Linked DNA regions of Arabidopsis thaliana. The protein of the gene in region 1 interacts with the protein of each later gene in a pairwise test. Each region holds a gene or a part of one and is shown on either strand. Other genes may lie near its edges.

Region 1 (5,774 bases):
TGCCCGATGATTTATTCTTGTACAGGGAGTTTCTTCATTGACGAGGTGAACAAAGTCGCCGTGATTTTCGGGCAACCGTTGAAACGCGACAAAGTTTTCATCATTGGAGAGGCTGGACAAGTCCGAGATGTTGATCTCGGAGAACCTGCCCACCAAGATAGTTGGCTATATGTGTGTCCTTATGTTCCAAGTTTAGTGAAAATCAAGCAACCTCCAGGATGCAAAAGGAGAAGACAAAGCAGTTCAGAAAACCGTCGATATAAGCGAAACATGATGAGACTTGTCGAACTTGAAAAGTATCATATTGCCATGGAACCCAAAAGAGGAGACAAAACAATATGAGAGTTTTGCAGCAATTATGAAATCGATTGATGTGCAGGAAAAAACTGGCAAAGTGAGAAAACGAGATGATTAAAATTATTCATCCCTTTCATTTCTATTTTACGTTACTTAGATGAATAAAAAAGAGAAATTTAAAGAGTTTTTTCATCCACTAAAATAGAGATGAATAAGTTGGAGAGGAATAACACATTATTCAGTGCAACTGATTAATCAATGATCATAATGAACTTTTACTTGTTACTTGTTATAAAGCCATTATTGTCTTTTTACAAACGAACCAGAGTTGTTTTGTTTGCAGCTTTATCAGATACATAGATTGGTTTTGTAAGCCGAATCAAGTAATGATCGTCTTATTTGGTAAACAAGAAACTAAGAATAAAAAGACTTAATTAAAACGTCTGATTCGATGCAGAAACAAGCAGCAAGTTAAGAACAGACATAATTCGTGATTATGACATATAAAAGAGTTCGCTCCTCTAATCCTTCGCGTCAGCAATGCCTCCTTGAGTAATCTGGAAACTGTGATTTCTTCAGTTAAGGAAAAAAATGAAGTCATTGCATTATATGAAATAATCAAAAACAAAGCAAGTGTGTGTGTGTGGATTTGGTTAAAAGGATATGGCTTCAGCTTCAGCGAGATTCGGAGCATCGTAGACTTTGCAGACACGTGTATCGCCTTTGCCTTTCCTGAACAAGAGCCTGATGGTGGCTGCGTGAGCTAGTACATGACCACCTGCTGGCTTTTTTGGGTCTGATATGAACATTCCACCACCTGGGTCAGCTATGACTGCAAACCACCAAATGAAACAGATGATACTTGCTAAGTTAGTGCAACCAAGAAACAAAAAAAGAATTGATGCTTTATCTCATTATATCAAACTAGTGTAAAGTAAACCTTGGTTAGTCATGTAGACAGCAACGTTGAACTCCTCTGCAATTTTGATTAGCCTGGAAAGCATCTGAGCTAGTTTTTGCTGCAACACAGAAACTGGGACTATTGAGCAAAGCCAGATTGTGCCAATGATAATGTAAGTAATGTTGTGGGAGGCAAGTTTAACCTGGCGGTCTGCGAGTTCTCCTCTTCCAGTGAAATCCACTCGGAATAAAGCAATGATCGAGTCAACAATCTGGAAACAAGGTCAGAAAACTCAGCTAATTTAACTCATATTTGAATGGATAACTAAACTAAAATTATCAGACATGTTTTACTTACCAGAATCCTAAATGGTTCCTCAGACATTTTTGCAGCAAGGCCAAGAAGCAAGTTGTACTGATGCTCATAGGTATAAGCACGAGCATAAATGATCTGTTATATCAAGATGAATAAGATTTTTGAATGTCAGTCACAGTCCTGAGAGTAAGTAAAGATGTGAGGTTAATAATGCTTACATTGTCAAGCACAGCTCCTGGATCCATTCCAAATCTTTCAGCAATTGGGACAATCCTATCAGGACGGCTACAAAATTTAGGGGTTAAGGAAAAATCATGGAATATAGAAACAATCTAATGAAGACACAAGATCTGGTCAGAAGATTTGTTATAAGATATTAAGGATACAAGGTTCCCTCTGTGTCAATGTATGCCACTTTTCCATTCCCTCCTTTCATGTTTGTAGGTAGCTGTAATACATCAATACAGAAAATGAATACCAATGACATTGAGAGACAGAGTACCTCAATGGTTTATATGCTGAAAGAAAGTAAAATCTCATCTCATGCCTCTGAAATGTAAACAAGACAACATATATTTCATATTGAGACTGTAGGAAAGAAACCAACCTGCGTAGTGACACAAAGGGTATGTGCTAATTGGGTTTTCCCAGACCTGAAGTGAAATTAAACTCTATAAGAATACAAGCTATTAACAGGAAACTTATAGAGCTTGGCTCAGCTGTTTCTCACCTAAATTCCCCAAAAGCCTCTGTGATGGCTGAGGTTTCAATTCCACCTAGCAAGAAATGTGAAATAATTAAACCAGAACTTAAGTAGTGTGATCAAGATGGCAAAAATCTAAAGCAAAACTTAGCATACCTCCTAAGAGATCATCGAGAGCTTGACACCCTGTAGTGATTTTTACAACTGATTTCCTCTGTAAACAATTAAAAAACAACTTGTAAGTTTCAATATCTAATATGAAATGTTGAATAGGATATCAAAATCTAATAGTTCTGTTAGTGGGATCAAGCAACAATGAGTCTAACCTTTATAAGAGCATCACTTCCAGTCATATATCCAAAGTTCTGAAGGAGAAATGGTTTGACAATTAAAATGACGCAAATGCAGAAAGTAACACTGATATAGCAACAACAGATGGAAACGTTAAACTTACCACAATTTTCTCAGCAGCTTCACAGATTTTGTCAACTTTGGCCTCAGATAAACCTTTGATTCCAGTAAGGTTCTGCATCAAACATAAGTTTAAACAATCGACTCATGCAACCAACATCTACATAGTATAAACCCAATGAGCAAAGCTAAATAAGCTGGTTAATACCTTCTTGGTATGCATCATGAGACCATTGCAGGTATGGATCCCAGCTTCTTGTAGCTTTTTCACATCTCCTGCGTTTATACCTTGTGCGATCACTGACACAAGCAAAAATAAAAGTCCCGAGATCAAATCAGCTAGAGATTTTAGCCAGATACAGAAATCAAACAACTATGTACACTAATATACACTCGAATTCCACAAACAGTAAACGAAATGGACCATAAACTATTCGTTACCAAGGAGAACCATGTTCAGAAATCAATATCGATCCTAGATTCATACTTAAATTCGAAATCTAACAGAGATTGCGAGAACATTCCTCAAATTAGATGAACGATTCTAGATCTGATTTCATAAGACCCAGCGATTAAGCAACAACGAGGTTTAGATAAACAAAAGTGGGCGAAATTAGAAGAGATAAACACACAGAGACGATTCCAAAACAGATGATGAAGATTTGAAACGAAAAAGTGAAGAATCGTAAAAGTTGAAAACGAATTCAAATCTTACATTTGTCAATCATCTCAAATAGATCTTCGTCTTCATCATTTTCTTCACGCTCAACGAGCTGCATCTGGCTCGTTTCTTCAGCTCTATGAATCCGAAACAACACAAACAGATCAGGATCATCGGAAAACAAAATAAAAACGAGAAGAAGCGAGTCAGGTACACAAAACTTAAGACAAAGCTTAAACCAAAACGATGAATGGAGAAGAAGAAGAAGAATCGTAGTAGAGAGAAAGAGAGAGATCAATCACTTACTTAAGAGAAGCCATCATTTTCTCGCTCTAAGAGTCTCTAAGCTTGGAAGAGTGAGAGAGATAGAATTTTGAAATTCGAAATTTGAAAATCTTTGCTCGATTTGCTTCGAGGGTTCAAGGTTTTTAATGGCGGGTTACGGAATTGAAAGCGTGATTCTAATTCCGTTGATTTGAATTTGGGTTCCGCAACTGAATTTGTTTTCGTTTGTGTGCTCTTCTTTGTTATACATGACTTTGTTTGATGGCTGCGATAATGCCACGTCATAGTTATCATCCGTCTATCGACGGTCAATAGAAGGAATCTAGGTGAAAAAAAGAGAATATTACACTCTTAAACACTTTTTTAAAACTATTTCTGTGTTTAGGCACTTTCAAAAGATTAGGCACTTTTTTATGTTTTTTTACTAAAATACCCTCTTAACTAAAATATTATCTTAACCCACGTTTTCTCTCTTTCTCTCTCTCTCTTCATCTCTCTCTTTCTCTCTCTCTCTCTCTTCATCTCTCTCTCTCTCTTCACCTCTCTCTCTCTTCATCTTTGTAAAAAATGAGAAGAAACTTCTTCTTCTTCAACAATGGCGGTTTGATTTGATTTTTGCTCTCTCTCATGTGTCAAACTCGTTTCATCTACGTAGCATCGAGATTTCAGTTAATCGAATCTCCTGTTATCATGGACATGTTATATAAAATGGATATAGATCAGTAAAAAGGTTTCCGAATGGATATATTTAAATGGATTCGTTATTATGGACACCAAAAAATTGTTTGTTGATTTTTTTTTCAGTTTGCAGAGACCTCCACCTTCAAAACCTTATGGACATGGAACTTTGGTTTCTTTACAAAACACGGTTAATCGAATCTCCTATTATTATTGACATGGTATATAGAATGGATACGGATCAGTAGAAAGGTTTCTGAATGGATATATTTAAATGGATTTGTTATTATGGATACCAAAAAATTATTTGTAGCAAATCAACCGCATATAGCTTGTTTTTAGGATGTTAGACATGCTTCTCCAATTCTTCATCTTTTACTCTTAACATGTAAGACCAAAAGATTTACAAATCTCACCATATCAATCCATAATATACAATCCATGATGCGTCATCCATAATATGTCATCCATGATTCATCATCCATAATGTGCCATCCATAATTTGCCATCCATAATGGACATCACCAATAACAAACGCCGTAAGAGCTACAAACACATCCTTAGCCACCAATGAAGATTTACCAAACACAAATAATTCCAATGAACAAGATTTCAACAAGAACACAAATTCTTTTTAAGAAAACACAAATAACCCTAGTCATACAGAATTACTCGCCAAATCAATGAGAACACAAATGCCTTGTAATAAATCACAAATAACCCTAATCATCTAGAATTAGTCGCCAAATCTTACTTAAATTAGATCCATCTTGATATCTCTTCTAATCTATGTTGTATGCTTAGTTGTTTCCTATTGATTCCCAACTTGATTAAAAACGAAATCACCAAACATAGCCAAAGAATTCGCCAGAACTCCATGACACTCTTCCGTAGCCAAAGAATCGTTCATCATAAACAAACAATCAAATTTTTTTAATCCATGGAAAGAAATCACAAACCTGTCCAACACAAGGAGATCCTCCTTCGTCTAGAGTAACCATAGGAAAAACCTCCATTTACTACTATTATCATGTTCATGAGGAAAGTTGTGTGGATTAAAGAACTTCACAGAGAATAATCGATTAATTTCATGAGAAACGATTTTCAACATCTCTCTGCTTCGTTTTTAAACTACTATGGATTTATGAAAAAACGATCTTCAGGAAGGAGAAAGGGAGAAACGATTGTTTTTTTAGAGAGAGAGATTTAGTTCTAGAGACGAAGAGAAATACCTTTTTCTAATCAGATTTTAACATCAAAAAATTAATCCATTTATTGTCTTTAATCTCAGCCATAGATCTTAATTTTTATTTTTCAATCTAATGGTCTATATTAATAACTACGTATCTAAATTCTTTTATTTTTTTAATTGTTTGGTTAAGATATATATTTAGTTATTGTTTTCGATTGTTTAGTTAAGAGGTATAAAAGTCAAGTTTTCCTTCAAAAAGAAGGAAAAGTGCCTCTAACTTGGAAAGTGTCTATATTGTCTAAACTTACGTTTAAAGTGTCTTATATTGGAA
Region 2 (7,008 bases), on another chromosome or scaffold:
GAAAGGCACCACGTGAATTCCTAGATCGTCTTGCTTGGATTTGCAATGTATGGTAAGAGGTGGACCGCCAATCAAGTTTGTCATCGTGACAACCGTAGCGCGCCAGAACGGTGGGAGGCCCCCATAACCCGAACCAAATAAAAGAAAGAAGAAGAAGCAAACAATAGAAACTTTTTCCATTTTGATGTTTGTATTTATGAATGTGGCTTTTCAGGTTGCTCTTGGAGTTGATTTTATAGTATTCCAAGGGCTCGACGGTTTCTTCACATAGTAACTATCCCATTGACTATTGACCAAACAAACAAAGAAATCAGTGTAAAAGTCATGTGACCAAACAAACATCCAAATCAGTAAAATGAGAATTTAGTGTGGTTTTGACCCAGACAAAAAAAATAAAATAATAATATTAAATCTTAATGGATTATGCGAAATTGATCGTCCAAAAAAACATGGGCTTTGGCCCCACATTTTCTGATGAAATTAAGCAAAATATATTACAAAGAAGTCCCAATTTTATTAATATTTTTACAATAATGTTTTTAAAATATTTTAATGTTACCTTGAGAAAATAATTAAGCCTTTGGCCCCAAAAATCTTATAGTCCGTTGTCGACAACTTAACCTCGTTTGTTCAAAAATTTCGGTGGTAAGAGGTAAATCCGCTACTATTTCAACTTTTTATCATGTTATAAGAGGAAAGTTTGTCAAGTTCCTCTTGTGAAAGTGTATTTGAGAGAAGCGCTTTGTTCTTTCTTAAAGAACATCTTTAATCCCAAACATCTGTTAGCATAAAAGTCTTTTAACAGTGTGTGATAGATAGCCACTGAAGATACTTTAGTCCGAAGCTGCGGTGAGGCTTAACAAATGAGAGACCAAATCTTCAAGACACGAAAACTGATTCGATAAACTCTTTTGAAACTCTTCACTCTCATTTTCATCTGACCTCAATTCGTTTAAACCCTCGTTAATCCTCTTCACTCCATTCTGCAATAACTCCATTCCTCTGCAAATTCCTTCTGGAAGTTTCCTTTTCTTGTTCGGTCGTTTCTCTACTTCCATTGACCTCTGGCTTCTTCCTTCTAGAAGCTTCTGCACTGTTGCCTTAACCTCGGTGCCTTCTTTCGAAAGTAACTCCAGTTCTTCTTCTGAAGGTGTGATTGAAAGAAGCGCTTGTTCTTTCTCCAAAAACATCTTTAATTCCGACATGAACCGCTCTGTTTTCGCTTCTTTTCCAGAAGCTATATCGAAGGCTAGAGCCGCGTCTTCAGGTACGAATCTCCATAGCTGATTACAGCTTGTACGTGCACAGAAGTATCCAAACGCAGTAACCGCGTGGTGTACCAAAGCCCAGTGGCGTTTCCTGAGAAGCATATGGTAGAGTTCCCAAACCGCAATGCTCTTTGGACACTTTTTGGTTTCAGACATCTCGTATTTGCTGAGTCCTGACAAGAAGAGAGCAAGGTTTGGCTTGGACTTACGAAGATGATTATGATGATGATTAGTTTCTGAATTGAATAGCTTTTGAAGCTCTGTTATGACATTATCCATCTCTTGGCAAGTGTATAGCTGTTCGCTTCTTGAGATGATAGATAATGTTTCGCTGAGAATCTCACTGTAACGTTCCTTCGTCGTTTCATCTTTGGAGTTTCTGTACTTTTGAATGAGAGCGACGACAAAGTTCAGAGTTTTGGCATCAATCTCTGATATGCTCATCTTTCTACACGGAAGAAAAACAACAACAGTCAATAATATCCACAACACAAAAATTGAAAATGTACCCTTTCGCTCACACTATTTTCAGTTACTATTATCTGACTTTTGCTATCTCGTGTAATAAAATCCCCAGAGAAGTCTCAAGAATAGATATATTATCATTACTTACAGTATCCGAAGGCAAGCAGATACTGTGAAAACTGGAGCTCCAAGCAGAGTGTATCTGGAGGAATTTGACGGTTTCTCATCGAATTTCTCGATGAAGTTGAAGAAATCTGCAAATATCTGTCTCTTTGCGTCGTTTTTTATTCTGTCTGGAAGAAAATTCAGTGGAAACCCGTCTAACAGCAATGCTAGATATACATCAGGTGCATGGTCAGATCTGCTCTCAGTAGAAATATGTTTGTAAACTTGAACTGTTAAAGATTTGGGGCTATGGGTAAGAAGAAAGCAGATGGACTTTGTAGTTCTTCTGAGAACGGAATCTGGACAAAGAGGTGTTTCTGATGATGGCATTGACATAATGAATGTACAAAGTTGATTAATCATATCGACCACCAAATCGTCAGTGGCATGACGAACCCAGAAGCACCAGAGTTCCATGACTATCTGCCAACACAAGAAGTGAGGATGCAAGAGATTCTGAAGTAGGAATGTTTCAAGCTCTTCCCAGGCAGGAGTTGAAGAGAGTATGATCATAAGGGTTTTGAGAGACAGAAGCAGAGCTGAATACATTGATTCCCAGATTACTATCTTCCCAGAACCATCTGCCATTGGTAGCTGAGAGGAAAGAACTGAAGAGTAAACCTCTTTGTCTGCTAATATGTCGAGAAGCCATTGCAGCTTTGTGGTGATTGCAAGCTTTGCATCTTTGTCAAGCTCGAAAGAATACCTCATGACAGACTGGAACAATACAACTCGGGCCAGGAGCAAATCTCTAGCACTTGTCGCAGATTCAACAGATAAAGACAAGATATCCACCAATGATGTTTTTGTGTGAGAATCATGGCTCTGCTTCTTACAGATTTGGTTTGAGAATTCATCAACGAACAATGAATCAAGAAGTGTGAGCCTGAATTCCTGTGTTAGTTCAGCTGCATTTAACAGTGCACCTAGAAGATCTACAGTTGTTTTCTCCAGAAGATCAGTCATTACTTCACTTGCGGATTTTCCATGAGTTTGTTGGCTCAGTGAAACTTTGAAAGCAGAGATCATCAAGATGCATAGTGCTATATCCTTGGACACCATAGACGCCTGGCTTGGAAACAGCGCCACAACTTTAACAGCATTGATAAGATAAAATTTCACAGGAAGAAAGACCCTTCTGGCTTCCGTTGCAGATATGTTTTCCTTCACCGAGCAAGACCAAGCCTCAGCAGCAAATCTCAGGGAGTCCTTGATCAGTGATATTAGCTTTAAGATAATTTCTCCTACATCTACCTTAGATACCAATGTCTGCTTGTCTAGTTGAAGCAATGTAATCACACCCTTCCAAGATGTATTAAGAATGGCCACAAGATTTCCACCATCTCTTGCAGCAAGCATACCCAATTCACTCAGAGATTTAACTCCCAGCGTAATCATGCTCACCAAATTACCCACAGCGTTGCCTTCCTCCATCCTTGCCTTTCCTACATGTCCACTCGTCTTCATTTCACTTACCTCACGATTCACTGTTTGAGAGTATTCTTTGCACAGACGAACAGTAGAATCAATTACCACTTGCACAGCCTTAAAAATCTCCGAGGAAAAGGATTCGACTTTCTGTCTCATAGAAAGGTGAAAGTTATTAACAGATGACAACAAGGCAAAACAATAATCTCAAGTTGATTCTCAACCTACAGTAGTAATTTCAACAAAACAAATGTTAAAAATGTTTCATGATATGGTACGTGTAGTTACTAGCGAAAGATAAAGATGATTTTCAAAGATACCTTGGAATTCATTATCAACTCCTTTGTCAAATTGAGCTGCTCTGAAACAAACTTATGAACTGTAACAGCTGAGGCATCATCAGTCATGAAACAAGTTTTTCCAATAGCAGTAAAGCTTGAGGCAGAAAAACGAAGATAATCCAAAAGAAGCTGCATAACATTGATTGAATAACTCAGTCCCTTCGAAACCATAAGCTGCGACAGAATCCTACTTCCAGAACCAAAAAGCATCAAATAACCTGAAAGAAAATGTTGGAATGCTCTTCCTCTTGAGACTCCTCCATGGACATAACAGACATGTTTAAATGTTTGGCACACCATTGGCTTACCTAGAAGAAGTGGAATAAGAAAAGATAATACAACACCCCTCCAAAATTGAGGTTGAGCAGTAAGCAATAAAAATGAAAACATTGTACCTTAATAGCAAAAGCAAGAAAGTAGTGTGAGCAATCAGGCCGATCCAAAGCGAGGTATTTTGAAGCCACAGGCAGAATCGCCTTGTTCAACAAACACAGGGAAACGTCAAGACATGTGAAATCTTCCCAGAGTGTCTATACAGCTGTCAAGGAATACTTGGAAACAAACAAACAAACCACTTAAAGCATATATGAATCCAAGTGAAACATGCAAATAAGCAGATATAAGTTCGTCACTTCATTATCCTGAATCCAACCGTCACATAATGGATATCCACATCTCAATTTTAAACATAGTATAACTGAAGATATTGAAAATCAGCAAAACTGATGAAAAGACTGGGGATACAGTTAGGCTCTCCACAAAAGAAGGCAAATCAGAATTCTCTTCAACATCTAACTGACTGAGCCGCGTGAGTAATTGAGCCCGATTCTCGATAAGCTGTTGAGCGAACAATGAAGAAAACGAAGCTCGTTAGATCCATGAGCTACAGAACTCAACTGAATCCTAATCACTCTATATATACATTAAGCTGCAGAAACTTAATCGGAAGGGAAATTGATAAGAAACATCACAAAACCCAAAGCAATCAGAAGAAATTTCTCGATTTAACAGAGAGGATTCGTAGAAATGACTACCGGAAGCGATAAAATCCACCAGAAGATTTTAGTTGGAAAAAATATACAGAAACCTAGAAAATCAAATCAAAGGTGGAAATCAAAGAGAAGCTTACATCAGAAGATTTGATCTCTTCGAGTAACTTCATCGCATTCTTCTCCATCACTCACTCTTTCTCTCTCTCTCTACAGGGAAATTTTGTTTTGGCAGTGTGAGAATCTCTCTCTAGGCTTTAGCTTCCCGCTCTTTACATTTCGCCTATATTGGAAATTTTCTCTGCCTTTCGCTTTTCAATTTTTGATTTATTAAACAAAAACAAATTAAAAAAAATGGAATATAAAAGATATTTTGAGGCCCGTTGGATCTAATTGGGCTTTGTAAGTAGCTCAATTTTCACTCGATGATTTTCAATTCGGTCCACCATTAAAATTGAAACCCATATCAAATCCTTAACAAAATTATTAAAAAAAATACCACAAACACCAACCAGTTCAGTTTTCTTTTCTATTTTTTTTGGGTTTTGCTTTTTTTACTACAATATTTTTAATGATTACAAAATTATAAATTGTGATTAATTTTACTAGCTAATATATATGTATATATATACAAATGCAAACGAATAAAAATTTGAAGGGTGTATGTATACGTCGTAATAAATTGCATGAGATGTAAATTTAGAGGTTGTGACAGCGAAATAGACAATAGAGAGGACGATGCATGAAATGGGACAACAAGTGTTTGACATGCAAATCCTATCTTCTTTAATTTGTGTCCCTCTCATCCCAACGCAATTATTACGTCATTTATTAGTGCTTCCTTTTTGTGGATTCTTGCTGTCTTCCTCCCACAATTAATGTATTTTTCCTATATATTTTGGATTAATATACACTAGATCATTTGCAAAGAAATTTCCAACCATGATGAACCATGCATAGTAATTAGTAAATAGGCGTTATTTATAGGGGTAGTACAATCTCAAGTTCTGAACAAATGTTCATTGTTACGTCCATCTTAAATATGTAAATTAAAAGTATGAGTTCAAACATTTCATACGAAATTACGAATCATATGTGTCAGTGTGTAGTAGATGGCTGAATGCATTATTGTGATCATCAACGAGGAAGTGTGTAGTAGATGGCTGAATGCAATATTGCGATCATCAACGAGGAAAATAATCCGGATATACCAATATCCAATGTTTTGGTTAGTTTTATAATATATTAATCTTCTATATAGTTAACCTTTGGTTAATAGATTAACATTTTTACTCAATTTTACTATATATTAATTCGTTTCTAATGATTATCGAAGGACTTTTTGAACCAAAACTCATATGTCTTCTCTTAGTCGAGATCTTTCAAAACCCTTGACCAAACTCATATATATATATATATATATATATATATATATGTTAATTTTACGGGTTTTACCACTTGGATATATATACTAACTTTTTTTTTTTTTTACTATATACTAACTTTGATATCCGACTTATTTAGAGTTAGACAGTGCAACAAAAACGAAATCTATACACTTTTTACATGTAATGTATATATAGTGGAAAAAGTTTGTACTCCATCCATTTTTGAGTGATGTTTTCATATTTTAAATATCATTACAAGTTCAAACCAATTTCATTTTCAAAAAATATCTCGTCGGAAACCTTGATAATTCCTCTTAATTAAAAATTTGTCTTTGAACATGCAAAAGTATGGAAGAAGAGAACCTCCTAAACCAAAACGATTCAAACATAGAGAGTCGCACATTTCATAACACCACGGCCGAAATCAAAGCAAACGTTACAAAAGCCCAAACTAGAAAATAGATCAAAAGTCACCCTAATGATCACAGAATTAAAAGACCAACAATAACATCGAAACTAATTAATTATTCCTTAATTAAAACCCTAACCAACAAATACTCTCTATTAAGGATGTGGATCGATCACACCACCGACCACGCCGTGTCCACCACCGATACCACCACCAACACCAATACCACCAGCCTTACCGAGACCACCAACTCCACCTAAACCACCTCCGGCTCCGCCTAGACCACCTAAACCGCCAATACCACCGGCTTTACCAATACCACCGCCAACACCACCTACACCGCCTAAACCAGCTCCACCTAGACCGCCAACGCCACCTAGACCACCAACACCCCCTCCAACACCGCCTAGACCGCCAACACCTCCTCCGACACCGCCTAGACCGCCAACACCGCCTATACTATGAAATCCACCGATTCCAGCTGCACCGCCTATGCCACCATACTTACCGATCCCGCCAAGACCACCGATGAGTGGCATCCCTAGACCTCCCACG

The links.
Region 2: the proteins of DMC1 (region 1) and AT1G04650 interact in a two-hybrid assay, tested with the Arabidopsis thaliana proteins (one study listed by BioGRID).

The regions. Positions count from the first base shown.
Region 1 is NC_003074.8:8,097,130-8,102,903, forward strand, and holds DMC1 (DNA repair (Rad51) family protein), read right to left. Parts: upstream 3,804-5,774; 5' UTR 3,612-3,803; coding exon 3,595-3,611; intron 3,426-3,594; coding exon 3,343-3,425; intron 2,928-3,342; coding exon 2,836-2,927; intron 2,743-2,835; coding exon 2,671-2,742; intron 2,582-2,670; coding exon 2,543-2,581; intron 2,431-2,542; coding exon 2,373-2,430; intron 2,290-2,372; coding exon 2,244-2,289; intron 2,167-2,243; coding exon 2,121-2,166; intron 1,962-2,120; coding exon 1,900-1,961; intron 1,799-1,899; coding exon 1,732-1,798; intron 1,649-1,731; coding exon 1,556-1,648; intron 1,470-1,555; coding exon 1,401-1,469; intron 1,317-1,400; coding exon 1,238-1,316; intron 1,130-1,237; coding exon 963-1,129; coding exon of another isoform or gene 951-962; exon of another isoform or gene 910-950; intron 864-909; coding exon 819-863; 3' UTR 549-818; downstream 1-548. Other genes in the region: AT3G22870 (F-box and associated interaction domains-containing protein), read left to right, coding at 1-342. UniProt on the Arabidopsis thaliana protein: May participate in meiotic recombination, specifically in homologous strand assimilation, which is required for the resolution of meiotic double-strand breaks. Mediates interhomolog recombination during meiosis.
Region 2 is NC_003070.9:1,294,060-1,301,067, forward strand, and holds AT1G04650 (holliday junction resolvase), read right to left. Parts: upstream 4,965-7,008; 5' UTR 4,845-4,964; coding exon 4,797-4,844; intron 4,505-4,796; coding exon 4,412-4,504; intron 4,198-4,411; coding exon 4,063-4,197; intron 4,025-4,062; exon of another isoform or gene 3,976-4,024; coding exon 3,886-3,975; intron 3,797-3,885; coding exon 3,647-3,796; intron 3,477-3,646; coding exon 1,882-3,476; intron 1,717-1,881; coding exon 834-1,716; 3' UTR 568-833; downstream 1-567. Other genes in the region: AT1G04645 (Plant self-incompatibility protein S1 family), read right to left, coding at 1-180; AT1G04660 (glycine-rich protein), read right to left, coding at 6,609-7,008.